2 linked regions of the Saccharomyces cerevisiae S288C genome follow. The protein of the gene in region 1 interacts with the protein of each later gene in a biochemical or structural test. Each region holds a gene or a part of one and is shown in the gene's direction. Other genes may lie near its edges.

What was found. Proteins that work in one complex are often made in the same cells at the same time.
Region 2: the proteins of TDA2 (region 1) and AIM21 form a complex in vitro, tested with the Saccharomyces cerevisiae proteins (3 studies listed by BioGRID).

The regions. Positions count from the first base shown.
Region 1 is NC_001137.3:301,447-306,887, reverse strand, and holds TDA2 (Tda2p), read left to right. Parts: upstream 1-4,560; coding exon 4,561-4,941; downstream 4,942-5,441. Other genes in the region: 40S ribosomal protein eS24 RPS24A, read right to left, coding at 1-96, 563-565; aldehyde dehydrogenase (NAD(P)(+)) ALD5, read right to left, coding at 1,296-2,858; VTC1 (Vtc1p), read right to left, coding at 3,693-4,082; ribonucleotide-diphosphate reductase subunit RNR1, read right to left, coding at 5,272-5,441.
Region 2 is NC_001141.2:359,267-365,716, forward strand, and holds AIM21 (Aim21p), read left to right. Parts: upstream 1-1,618; coding exon 1,619-3,658; downstream 3,659-6,450. Other genes in the region: MPH1 (3'-5' DNA helicase), read right to left, coding at 1-1,130; DJP1 (Djp1p), read left to right, coding at 3,955-5,253; U2 snRNP complex subunit IST3, read left to right, coding at 5,623-6,069; actin cytoskeleton-regulatory complex protein PAN1, read right to left, coding at 6,200-6,450. UniProt on the Saccharomyces cerevisiae protein: Involved in mitochondrial migration along actin filaments.

The DNA.
Region 1 (5,441 bases):
AGCTCTGTTTGGGTGCAAGACGTCGACGACGAATTGCTTTCTGGCCAACAATGGGTTGGAGATAACCTTTCTAGTACGGATAGTAACAGCGTCAGACTGAGAAAAAACAATTTAGGTAAAAAACCATTTTAAAAATTGTTAGTAAAATAGGTTCCAGTGTGGGGGAAATCTTTGGAAATGGCGTCCTTGAAAGATCCTTCCAGTTTTCATGATAGGGATAATAGTCCAAAAAAGGTTCCTGTAGCATAATGGTTAGCTAGATATCATTTTTTAGCGTTGAACTCTTAAAGCGGGATAAAATATTACGGGTCAGCTATTCGAGTGTTTAAATTTGAGTTATAAATTTAACCAATTACGATACGGATTTCACATTTCTTTTCACAATGATTGCCATTAATATATTAGCCAATAGTTGCTGTTACGCCACCTTAAATTTGCAAAACATTTCTTCTTTTACTTTCTTTTCTCGTTATGGTACCTTTATTGCCTTTTATACTAACTCATGGCAACTTTAACATGGAATATGGGACGTCATCTTTCATCTGAGCACTTTTTAACATACCATTTCTGCTTAATCTATGTTGGTTTCTTGAAATCTTTGTTTTGAACTAATACCTAACCATCCTCTAGCTCTTGAAATTCACTATAGTTATTCAATTCTTCTTCGCTGAGACAAAGTTAAAGCGCTGGGTGGACAACCGAGTGAAACTTCCTTCCAAAGGAAGCAGCCTTCTGGAGTATTCCGTTAGTGACTGCGTGGCCCCGCCTACAGGACGCTTAGGTGATGAATACTCGCCGAGGCGTAGGCTGCGGCATCGGACAATCATATTTTATGACAGTGGAAGAAGCGCAAGAAATGAAAAGAAAGTTGTAGGATGTGTGGGCTTGTAAATGTGTGGGTGTACAGTCCCGATATTGGCATACATTATCACATCGATAGAGTTTTCTGTTTATATATCTCTCTGGCACTTGTATCTACCTATAAAGATGAAATTTTGAAAAACAGAACTAGTGAGCAATTTGATCAATGAAACGAATTTGATTACTATATATTTCAATATACAATATCACCAAAAAAAAAAAAAAAAGTAAAGAAGGTAATTTCTCACCTATGCTTAAGAATGTAAATACATTGTTCATTAATGTTTATCACGTTATTATTTTTTTGTTTTGTTTTTTTTTTTTTGAATATATCCTTGTTAGATTTTATCTGTATGTCACGAGGCATTTTTCATTATTCTATAATGTTTATCATACATACCTTCAATGAGCAGTCAACTCGGGCCTGAGTTACTTCAACGAATTGGCTTGTCAATGGCAATTCTGACAGATTTTGTTTGAGTGTAGTTACTTAAAGCAGCCTCACCCATTTCACGGCCAATACCTGACTGGCCGAAGCCACCGAAAGGAACATTTTGGTGGAAGTTGTTATAGGTATTTATCCAAACAGTACCAGCTTTCACTCTTTTGGACACATCAACAGCCTTGTTAATATCGTTAGTGTGAATACCTGCGGCTAACCCATATTGAGAATCATTTGCCATAGCAATCACTTCATCAACAGTAGAAAACTTGGATACAGTTACAATGGGACCAAACACTTCCTCCTTAACAATTCTCATATCTTCTTTGACATCAGCAAACACTGTTGGCTTGACAAAATAACCTTTACTGCCATGTCTGGCCCCTCCAGTCACAAGACGAGCCCCCTCTGATTTTGCTACATCGACATAGTCTAAAATTTTATGCAGCTGTTTGTCAGATGTTTGAGCACCTTGGAAAACTTCCTCATCAAATGGGTCACCGACCTTTAGTGACTCGGTGTAATCCTTTAGTTTTTGCAACACCTCCTCGTATACTGTATCTTGAATGTATATTCTGGAACCAGCGCAGCAAACTTCACCAGAGTTGTAAAAAATACCGAAGGCAATGTTCTTGACGGCTTTATCTAGATCAGCGTCAGCAAACACAATATTTGGTGATTTACCTCCCAGCTCCAAAGTGACTTTCTTGACAGTATCGGCAGCGACCTTCATAATATGGCGGCCGGTGGCAGTAGAGCCTGTAAAAGCAATCTTCTTCACGTCTGGGTGTGCACTCAATCTTTCTCCAACAACTCTACCGGAACCCGGAAGGATATTGACTACACCAGCGGGTATGCCTGCTTCCTGACACAACTGGGAAGCGAAAAGGGCAGATAAAGGTGTTGTTTCAGCGGGTTTCAATACGACGGTGTTACCTGTAGCCAGAGCAGGCCCAATTTTCCATGACCACATCAATAAAGGGAAGTTCCAAGGGATTATTTGGCCGCAAACGCCTAATGGTTCCTTAATTGAGTAGGTAAAATGGTTTTTACCTGTGTCAATAACGTTACCGTAGATTTTATCTGCCCAACCACCGCAAGAACGCAAGTATTTAGATACTAAAGCGACGTCACCGCGCGCACAAAACAATGACTTACCATTATCCATTGACTCAATGGCAGCCAGTGTTTCTTGGTGTTTCTCAACCAAGTCAGCGAGATTGAATAAAGCTTTAGCGCGAACCTCCGGCTCTACAATAGACCACTTCGTTTCAAAAGCTTTTTTAGCCGCTGCAACGGCTTCATCAACATCATCTTCCATAGCCTTGTATACAGTTGTTATCTTTTCTTCGTTAGATGGATTGATCACGTCAAACGTTTTCTTTTGCTTCGAGGCAACAAATTCACCATTGATGAATAACCCTGTTGGCTGTTCGTAGGTGAAACCATTTGGAAGAGTAATTGGAACGCGTAATGGTGCTTGAGAATAAAGACGTAACAAGCTTCTAGTGAATATTCTGGAATTCGGAGCTGCAGCTCTTGTGCGAGAAAGCATTTCTTCTTCTTTGGCTTTTTGTTAATGTTGTGAAGAAGTTTTCTGTCTTAACCACGTTTGATGAGACACTTATCGTATTGTTATATATGCTAAAAATGTCAAGAAGTCCTAAATTCAAAATAAATTAAGACGTTCTTTTTACATGGGGCTTATATAATCGTGTTTTGTTCTGTTCTTTGAAGCCATTCTCATCGAAAAACTCTAACAATCTGCGTAGTGATGAGTCAGAAGTCTTCCAACATTTTTAACGATACACAACCCCTCTCAGTTTGTGAAAAAAAAAAGAAAGAGAATAGCTTCCATCTTTTGGCGCCTTAAGCGGTATTCTAAAGGCTCCGCGAGCGAGCCTCTTTAACCTAATGCAAAAAAAAATTGTTACGCACGTTCCCGGCTTTTACCGTAATAGTAGTCAAGAGCTTAACTCTACGGCTAACAAGCGCTTGGTTGTACTACGCTCAGCGTACCATTAGGCCCTTGCTAGTCCGGTAGCGGCCAAAAAAAAAAATGGAACCCTTTTTGTATACTTATTTATCATTGATGTGTAAACGGCTTCTTAGGCTTACATAGCCACAAGAGAAAAGAAAGATGCCTCATCGAAATTAAAATTTTTTTATAGCGCTTGATATCTAGTGAAAGGGGCTGATTTTCAACTTGATATCCAAAAACGTAATGAGTACAAACAATAGCTCCTGAAACGTGAATATTTTTATTGTTCATGATTACCTATAGATGGATACTTTCTATATATGCGTATATATGAAACTAAATTATTTGTGAGCATCTTGAAAATACAGTTTGTGCGTAACCCACGCTTACGATATTGGAATTACAATTTCATAACTTAGTGTTAGCGTCATTGTACTTCAATCTTAATATAAAGTTGATAATGACAGCAACCAATAAGAAAAAGCACAACAAAGTGGGCCCCAATCTGTCATCATAAGGACCTGATCCTCTACGTCTAATCGCAGCAGCTCTCCAGTGGTATGTTACAAGCGCGTATATCATTGTACCCATGGCAACAAAAGTAAATAGTCCTGCACTGACCCTACCTATCTTGTCACCAAAATTCAGTAAACCTACACCAAGGCCTCCCAGCATAACTGTAAAGTTCAACCACGACAAAAAGGTACGCTCATTGGCAAAGAACACTTTTGGCTCAACTCGTGTGGGCAAAGCGATCTTTTTCCCAGGTGTTCTTTGTAATAATGGTGCTGAAGACATATTGTGGAAATCTGGCGTAGTGTTTAATCGTATTCGATAATGTAGTAAATCGTATGTTACGTGTATGCAAGTCGCTGGTTATGGAAATATGGACTCTTAAATACTGTTATCTATTTTGTATAATGCAGCATTCATTTTCTTCTCTCCGAGACACGTGCTAATATCTATTTCAAAGTGAAGTATCACCGACCGTAACAAGCGATATAACCATTAGTTATCTGATACGTGCTCAAAGATACTTGAAGAGAGAGTCTCATTATTTCTTGTCTCTATACATTTCCCAGTTTGCTATACTTAATCGCTCTTGCCATTCTATCCGAAAATAGCGATGCCAATATACCTCCTTTTTTGTAAATTTCTTTACTAGAAAATACGTATTCTTCTCTCTATTAGCGGATACCGTCTTGCAGTTTTACAAAACGCACTGTAAATTATTTAGGATAAGTGAAAGTAAGTGATTACGAAAGTCAACAAAAAAATGAGTATGCAGATTGAAATAAAGGATGGAAGGAGTGATAACTCTCCTCTGCCCGAAAGAAAACTAGTTACGTTAATTCAAGAAAGTTATGATAGTTTAAAAGATGACAATGAAATCAATTTATCGACCGAATCAACTTCCAACCTTCTTATAAAACTGGTCCTAGAAAAACTTGAAAAGCACTCTTCTTTGTATAAATATATTGCCTCGGTAACGACGTTGAACATTGAAGGACTCAACGAAGAAAACGCTAATTTCTCATTGAAGAACGATATAGGCGCATCCTGGGAATCTAAAAAAGATGGTATATTCAACTATAAACTAGAAGACAAAAATAATAATGAGTGCTATTTAATTACAATTCTTTGGCTTCACAAGTAGATATGTATTTGCTTTAATGTTGCCACATAAAGTTGCGTTCCTTTATAGAACAATGTTGCCTAGACCCCATTTCGGGGCAGGGGGGAATCTGTATCATGGCCTTCTTACAAGGACAGCTTAAAATGTTCATGTTAAATTATTCGACTTTTTTTATGTATATATGCAAAGTAGAAAAATAATTAGTAAACATATATAGGTACCTTTTAGCTTGGCATTAGAATGGAAACCAATTTTTTTATCAGAGAAAACAAAAGAAAATATAAATTACACCTCGAAGTAAACACCCAAATTTTGATAAATAGAATTGAAGAAATAAAAACTTAGCCCTCATTAACCCGAACACATTTCACAAGCTTCTGGGTTATCAATAGCACATGCTATAACCTTAGAGTTGTAAATGTCGAACTCGGTTTCCTCATCATCAACGATGGGGGCAGCTTTTTCTTCATTCTTAGTTGGGGCAGGTACTTCAGGAACTTCTACCTTAGACTCTTGAACGT
Region 2 (6,450 bases), on another chromosome or scaffold:
TTGAAAAATGTCCTTATTCCATAAATTTTTAATCTCTTTAGCATTTGACCCACATTGTTCAATAACTGTAAAATAAAGAAGTTCCTCCACTTAATTCCTTCAGGTATAGTAGGGTTAGCAATAATTTTTTGGCTTTGTTGCATGGCTTTGAAGGCGTTTATTTGTGAAGGGTCACATTCCTCATATATACCGAGTTCAATTGCCTGTTGAAGCACTGGTTTGACGGCCATACCTAATTGTTCGATTATGTCTTCAATTTCCAACAAAAGGGGCACTTCAATTTTTTCCTTTTTTCTTTTCTTCATATATTTCACGATATCCATGCTTTCTTCAGTCCTAATTTCAATCTTGGAAATATCTAAGTTATTAACCACTTCTTGGACACCTTCCAGGTCAGAGGCTGGTGTAGCGGTCAATGCTAATAATCTGTATGATGAATTGAACCTATCTATGAATTTTACCACATTTGTATACGCAGAGGAGCCAGTAGCTCTGTGAGCTTCATCGATGACAAGACATACAATATCCTTAGGATCCAATACACCCCTCTTCAAGTCATTCTCCACTACTTGCGGTGTGGCAAAGAAAACTCTCTTATTGGCCCAAATTTCTTCTCTATTTTTCCTGCTTTTATCGAGTAATATAGCAGTTTGATCCGAAGGTATTCCTGTTATACCTAAGCATGCCTTAATTTGCTGGGCTACCAAAGGTCTTGTTGGAGCAGTAAAGATTATTTTGGCTTTTTTGGTCCAACGAAAATAATTTAACATTACTGTACTGGCAATGAACGTTTTACCCATACCCGTTGGGATGGCGCATAACGTATTTTGAAACAGTGATTTGTGAACAATTGTATACTGATAATCCCTTACCTCGTAATTTGTAGGGTACACGTAGAACGACAAAGCATCGTAATCAAGCTCATGATGAGTGGGTCCAAAACTGACATCTCTTTGAATTTCTTCGTACACAGTTTTCTGCCCAGGTAAAACGTTATCATGAAGGTCTTTTTGAACTGGTACAGCACGTCTCGTTATAGTTTCCTTCACAGATTTATTGATAGCCTTTTCATACAGTTTATCCAGCTCGTCATCTTCGAAATCACTAAAGTAATCATCTGCACTAGCCATCAGAGAGAAAAAAGGACACTAAAATAAAACAGAACCGGAATGTGTTGAATAAAACTGAAGTGAGCTACTATATCTTGAATCACAATATCTTAGCTCCGTGATAGAGCATAGGGCACCTCTATTGATCTCTTCGTGATGCCCGGTTATATACACACGTAACCCCGTAAAAGCCGTTACCCGGTTTATGTCTTTCTGTGAGCACAGTAAGCTAGGAAGGTCGATGGAGAAGAAGACTCCTGTCTCATATGGAACAACCTTGCAAATTGAGTGCAATTATCCCCTTTGGAGTTTGAATTTTGTGTTAGTACATTCTCCTTTTTTAACTTGTCTTTTCTACCACATGCACAATGAAAGCAATCTTGTTTTACCAGGCGCGAAGCAAAAGAAAAGGAGAAATATTGAGTATATTTTAATTTAAGCTTTCTGATTTAGAAAGTATCATGTTTTGTTGGTGATCTAACAGGAAATCTATTTTGACCGATTATACAATGCCATCGGAAGTTACGCCAAAAGTACCTGAGAGGCCCTCAAGGAGGAAGACATCTGAGCTGTTTCCGTTATCCGGCTCTGAATCAGGAGATATTAAAGCTAATAGCGAGCCACCAACACCAGCAGGAACGCCCAATGTACCAACACGTAGACCCATACTTAAAGCAAAGACGATGACTTCGTTTGAGAGTGGTATGGATCAAGAGAGTTTGCCCAAGGTACCATTGCAGAGGCCAGTTAGACGCTCCACTACTGAAGAACTAAATAATGTAATGAATAACACCAGTAAGGAGTTAGAGGAGATTGAAAGTTTGATTTCAAAGCACAATATACACAATGTTTCCAGGAAAAAAAGTCCAACTTCTGTGGAAGAGGGAAAGGTGGCCGCCATTCATCAAAACGGGCAAAGAAGTGCATCAGATAACAAAACTTCTACAAATCCCTCCCCACTCGAAAAAAATGAGCACGAGGGTGCTGAGGGCAATGAGTCTGCTATTTCACCTTCTAATTTAGTTAACAAGTCTAATAATGAAGTGACAGAGCATAGTGACTCCGAAGACCTTACTGAAAAGCAAAAGGTACATGCTGCCCTAGATAATGAGGCAGGGGATAGAAGCCATTTTGAAGAAAAGCTCATTCCTGGAGATATGAAAGTACAGGTAGATGTTAGTAAGGACGTAGAAGAAGGCAGCCTCAATGCTCTGCCTCCATCTGGAATCACAGAATCAGACGACAAAGCTGAAAAGTTCACTAAACATCCTGAATCTAGTTTAGAAGAGCTACAGAAGCATCAAGAACAACAGGAAGAAAAAATTTTCCAAAATCCAACCGATGAAGAAAGTACTACCTCTTTGAATGAGAAACAAGAAGGCAAGGACAACATGGAAGTGAATTCTCAGCCGCAAGGACCTTCTGATACTGAAACAGTTATAGCAGCAACTAGCTCAAACGTTCCTTCACAAATTGCAAGTGAAGAGGAAAATGACGTTCCAGTGATTCCAAGGAGTAGGCCTAAGAAGGATTTTGAAGCACACGTACAAAAAGAGGAGTTGCCTAACACACAAGAGAAGCGAGTATCAGAAGAGTGTGATTCGACCCTAATTAGTACCGAAGAGGAAAGTAAAATCCCAAAAATTCCCTCTGAAAGACCAAAGAGACGTGCCCCACCTCCGGTTCCCAAAAAACCTTCTTCAAGAATTGCGGCCTTTCAAGAAATGTTACAAAAACAACAGCAACAAGATCTGCATAATAATGGTAATTCTTCAGCTACTACCGCTTCAGCAGATATTGCTAAAAAACACACAGATTCTTCTATTACTAGCGATACCACGAAGGCAGATTTTACGAGCAAATTGAATGGACTGTTTGCGCTACCTGGTATGGTGAACCCTGGACAGCTTCCACCTTCCTTGGAGAAGAAGTTGTCCTCCCCGGATACTGAATCTAAGCTAGGACCCCAGGACCAATCACAGGCAAAAACGGGACCTCTGGGCGGAACTAGAAGAGGTAGAGGACCTCGTGGGCGTAAATTACCTTCTAAAGTAGCTAGCGTAGAGAAGATTGAAGAAGATGACAACACTAATAAAATAGAAATATTTAACAATTGGAATGTTTCCTCTTCCTTCTCTAAGGAAAAAGTCTTAATAGATACTACTCCTGGTGAGCAAGCAGAAAGGGCCTTGGATGAAAAGTCAAAGAGCATTCCCGAGGAACAACGAGAACAATCTCCAAATAAGATGGAGGCTGCTCTTTGTCCTTTTGAGCTGGACGAAAAGGAAAAGTTACCTGCTAATGCTGAGTCGGATCCTCTTTCTCAGTTGCCACAGACGAACGCCGTAGGTAATAGAAAAGCCATAAGTGAGGAATCTCTGTCCCCATCGGAGGCCATCGCCAACAGAGATCAAAACGATACGACAGAAATACAGGAACAGCAGATGGAGGACCAAATGGAGGTTGATATGGAAAGAGAACTCTCAGGTGGCTACGAAGACGTTGATTCTGCCTTACATTCAGAAGAAGCGTCTTTTCACTCCCTTTAGAATCTTATAAATAATATGTATGAATAAACTCTATAGTATGTATCAAGAGAGAAATATGTGAATGACGAGCAAACTAGAGGTGTTATTAATAATAATGGCATAAAAACTAGATTTTATTCTATATATATATATATATATTTCTTCGACTTTTTTTTTTTTTACCCGCACACCCTGAATTTTGTGCTATTTTGAAGCAGAGCGTACTGAACAAATTGGCAGATTTACAAGAGGAATAACAGAGTTATGCTAAATCATTAAGTGTTTCTTGCGGCCAGAAGGGGCATTATACAAAAGATATGGTTGTTGATACTGAGTATTACGATTTGTTAGGTGTGTCTACCACTGCATCTTCCATTGAAATAAAAAAGGCCTATAGAAAGAAATCTATTCAAGAGCATCCTGATAAGAATCCCAATGACCCCACGGCTACCGAAAGGTTTCAAGCAATATCCGAAGCTTATCAAGTTTTAGGTGACGATGATCTTCGCGCAAAGTATGATAAGTATGGAAGAAAAGAAGCTATTCCTCAGGGCGGCTTTGAAGATGCAGCTGAACAGTTCTCTGTCATCTTTGGTGGAGATGCGTTTGCCTCATATATTGGCGAACTGATGCTATTAAAGAACCTACAGAAAACTGAGGAGCTAAATGCTGAAGACGAAGCTGAAAAGGAGAAGGAGAATGTGGAAACAATGGAAGAATCACCTGCAGACGGTAAGACGAATGGCACCACTAACGCTGTTGATGCAGCATTGGGCAATACTAACGAAAAAGATGACAAAAATAAGGCGAGGACAACTTCTGGTAATTTAACTGTACACGATGGAAACAAGAAAAATGAGCAGGTAGGAGCAGAAGCTAAGAAGAAGAAGACAAAATTAGAGCAGTTTGAGGAAGAACAAGAGGTAGAAAAGCAAAAAAGAGTAGACCAATTAAGCAAAACATTGATTGAAAGATTATCGATATTAACAGAAAGTGTCTATGATGATGCATGTAAAGATTCCTTTAAAAAAAAGTTCGAAGAGGAAGCCAATCTTTTAAAGATGGAATCATTTGGTCTGGACATATTACACACAATAGGCGACGTTTACTACGAAAAAGCTGAAATTTTTCTTGCATCCCAGAACCTGTTCGGAATGGGTGGTATATTTCATTCTATGAAGGCTAAAGGGGGAGTATTTATGGATACACTAAGAACTGTTTCGGCAGCCATAGACGCTCAGAATACTATGAAGGAGCTTGAAAAAATGAAAGAAGCTAGCACGAATAATGAGCCTTTGTTTGACAAAGACGGAAATGAGCAAATTAAGCCAACCACTGAGGAACTGGCGCAGCAAGAGCAGCTATTGATGGGCAAAGTATTGTCGGCTGCTTGGCATGGTTCTAAATATGAAATAACATCCACTTTACGTGGCGTTTGTAAAAAAGTACTAGAAGATGACTCGGTAAGTAAGAAAACGCTTATCAGAAGAGCTGAAGCAATGAAACTATTGGGTGAAGTCTTTAAGAAAACTTTCAGAACCAAAGTCGAACAAGAAGAGGCACAGATCTTTGAAGAACTTGTAGCAGAAGCTACAAAAAAGAAGAGACATACATGAAGTTAGCAATCATCTCTTGTATATTAAAAATTCAAAAATTCACTTTTTTTTATTATCTGTATTCAATATAATATAATGTATATAAGATCACACTAATACTGATAATTCTATTCTTGAAAGAAAGACAATAGAACAATAAAGAAGTGATTGAACTCAGTGACAATGATAATTTATGTGATAAGGAAGTGGTTATGGCTGGAGAATTATGCCACACTTAAATGATAAGCTCTTTTACCTTTCTGGGTTTAGGAATTTTTTGAGATTAATACAGATAAAAAAAAATAGGCCGAACATTAATTACTCATACAACTCAAAAAGTGCAGCGTGCAATTCTAGATCAAGAACATAGATAATATAAACAAAATAACAATGAACAAAATTCAGCAAATCAACGATAAAGAACTACAAAGTGGAATTCTTAGCCCGCATCAATCATGGCATAATGAATATAAGGATAATGCTTATATATATATCGGAAATCTCAACCGAGAATTAACAGAAGGTGACATATTGACAGTCTTTTCTGAATATGGAGTCCCTGTAGATGTAATTCTTAGCAGGGATGAAAACACAGGAGAATCGCAAGGTTTTGCATATTTGAAATATGAGGATCAACGGTCAACGATTCTAGCAGTCGATAATTTAAATGGATTTAAAATTGGCGGTAGAGCCCTCAAAATTGATCATACTTTTTATAGGCCAAAAAGGAGTTTACAAAAATACTATGAAGCTGTAAAGGAAGAATTGGATCGAGATATAGTTTCGAAGAACAATGCTGAGAAACTCATTTTGGCTAAAAAGGACCAACCAAATTAAATAATTTTTTCTTTCATCGCATATCTTATATTCATATAGCCTAGAAAAAAATAATCAATATCATATTTGTAATTCTACATCCTTTCAGAAATTAGTATACATACGTATCTATAGAAAGCAAATTAAATCTTCATGGAAGGGGTGGGGGTGGAGGAATACCTGCAGGTGGAATTGATGGGATACCTGCAGTAGAAACTGGTTGTGCCCCTTCTTCCTCTTCATCTGTACCAACTGATTCAGGAATCGATAAAACGTCATCATCAGAATCGGATCCATATGCGCCCGTGCCTTTTTCAGCACCATTGTAGTTATCAACGTGAGCGATAATAGGTTCTGAAGTGGAAGCTTGTTGAGTTGGTAAAGGTGGGGGTGGAGGCAAAA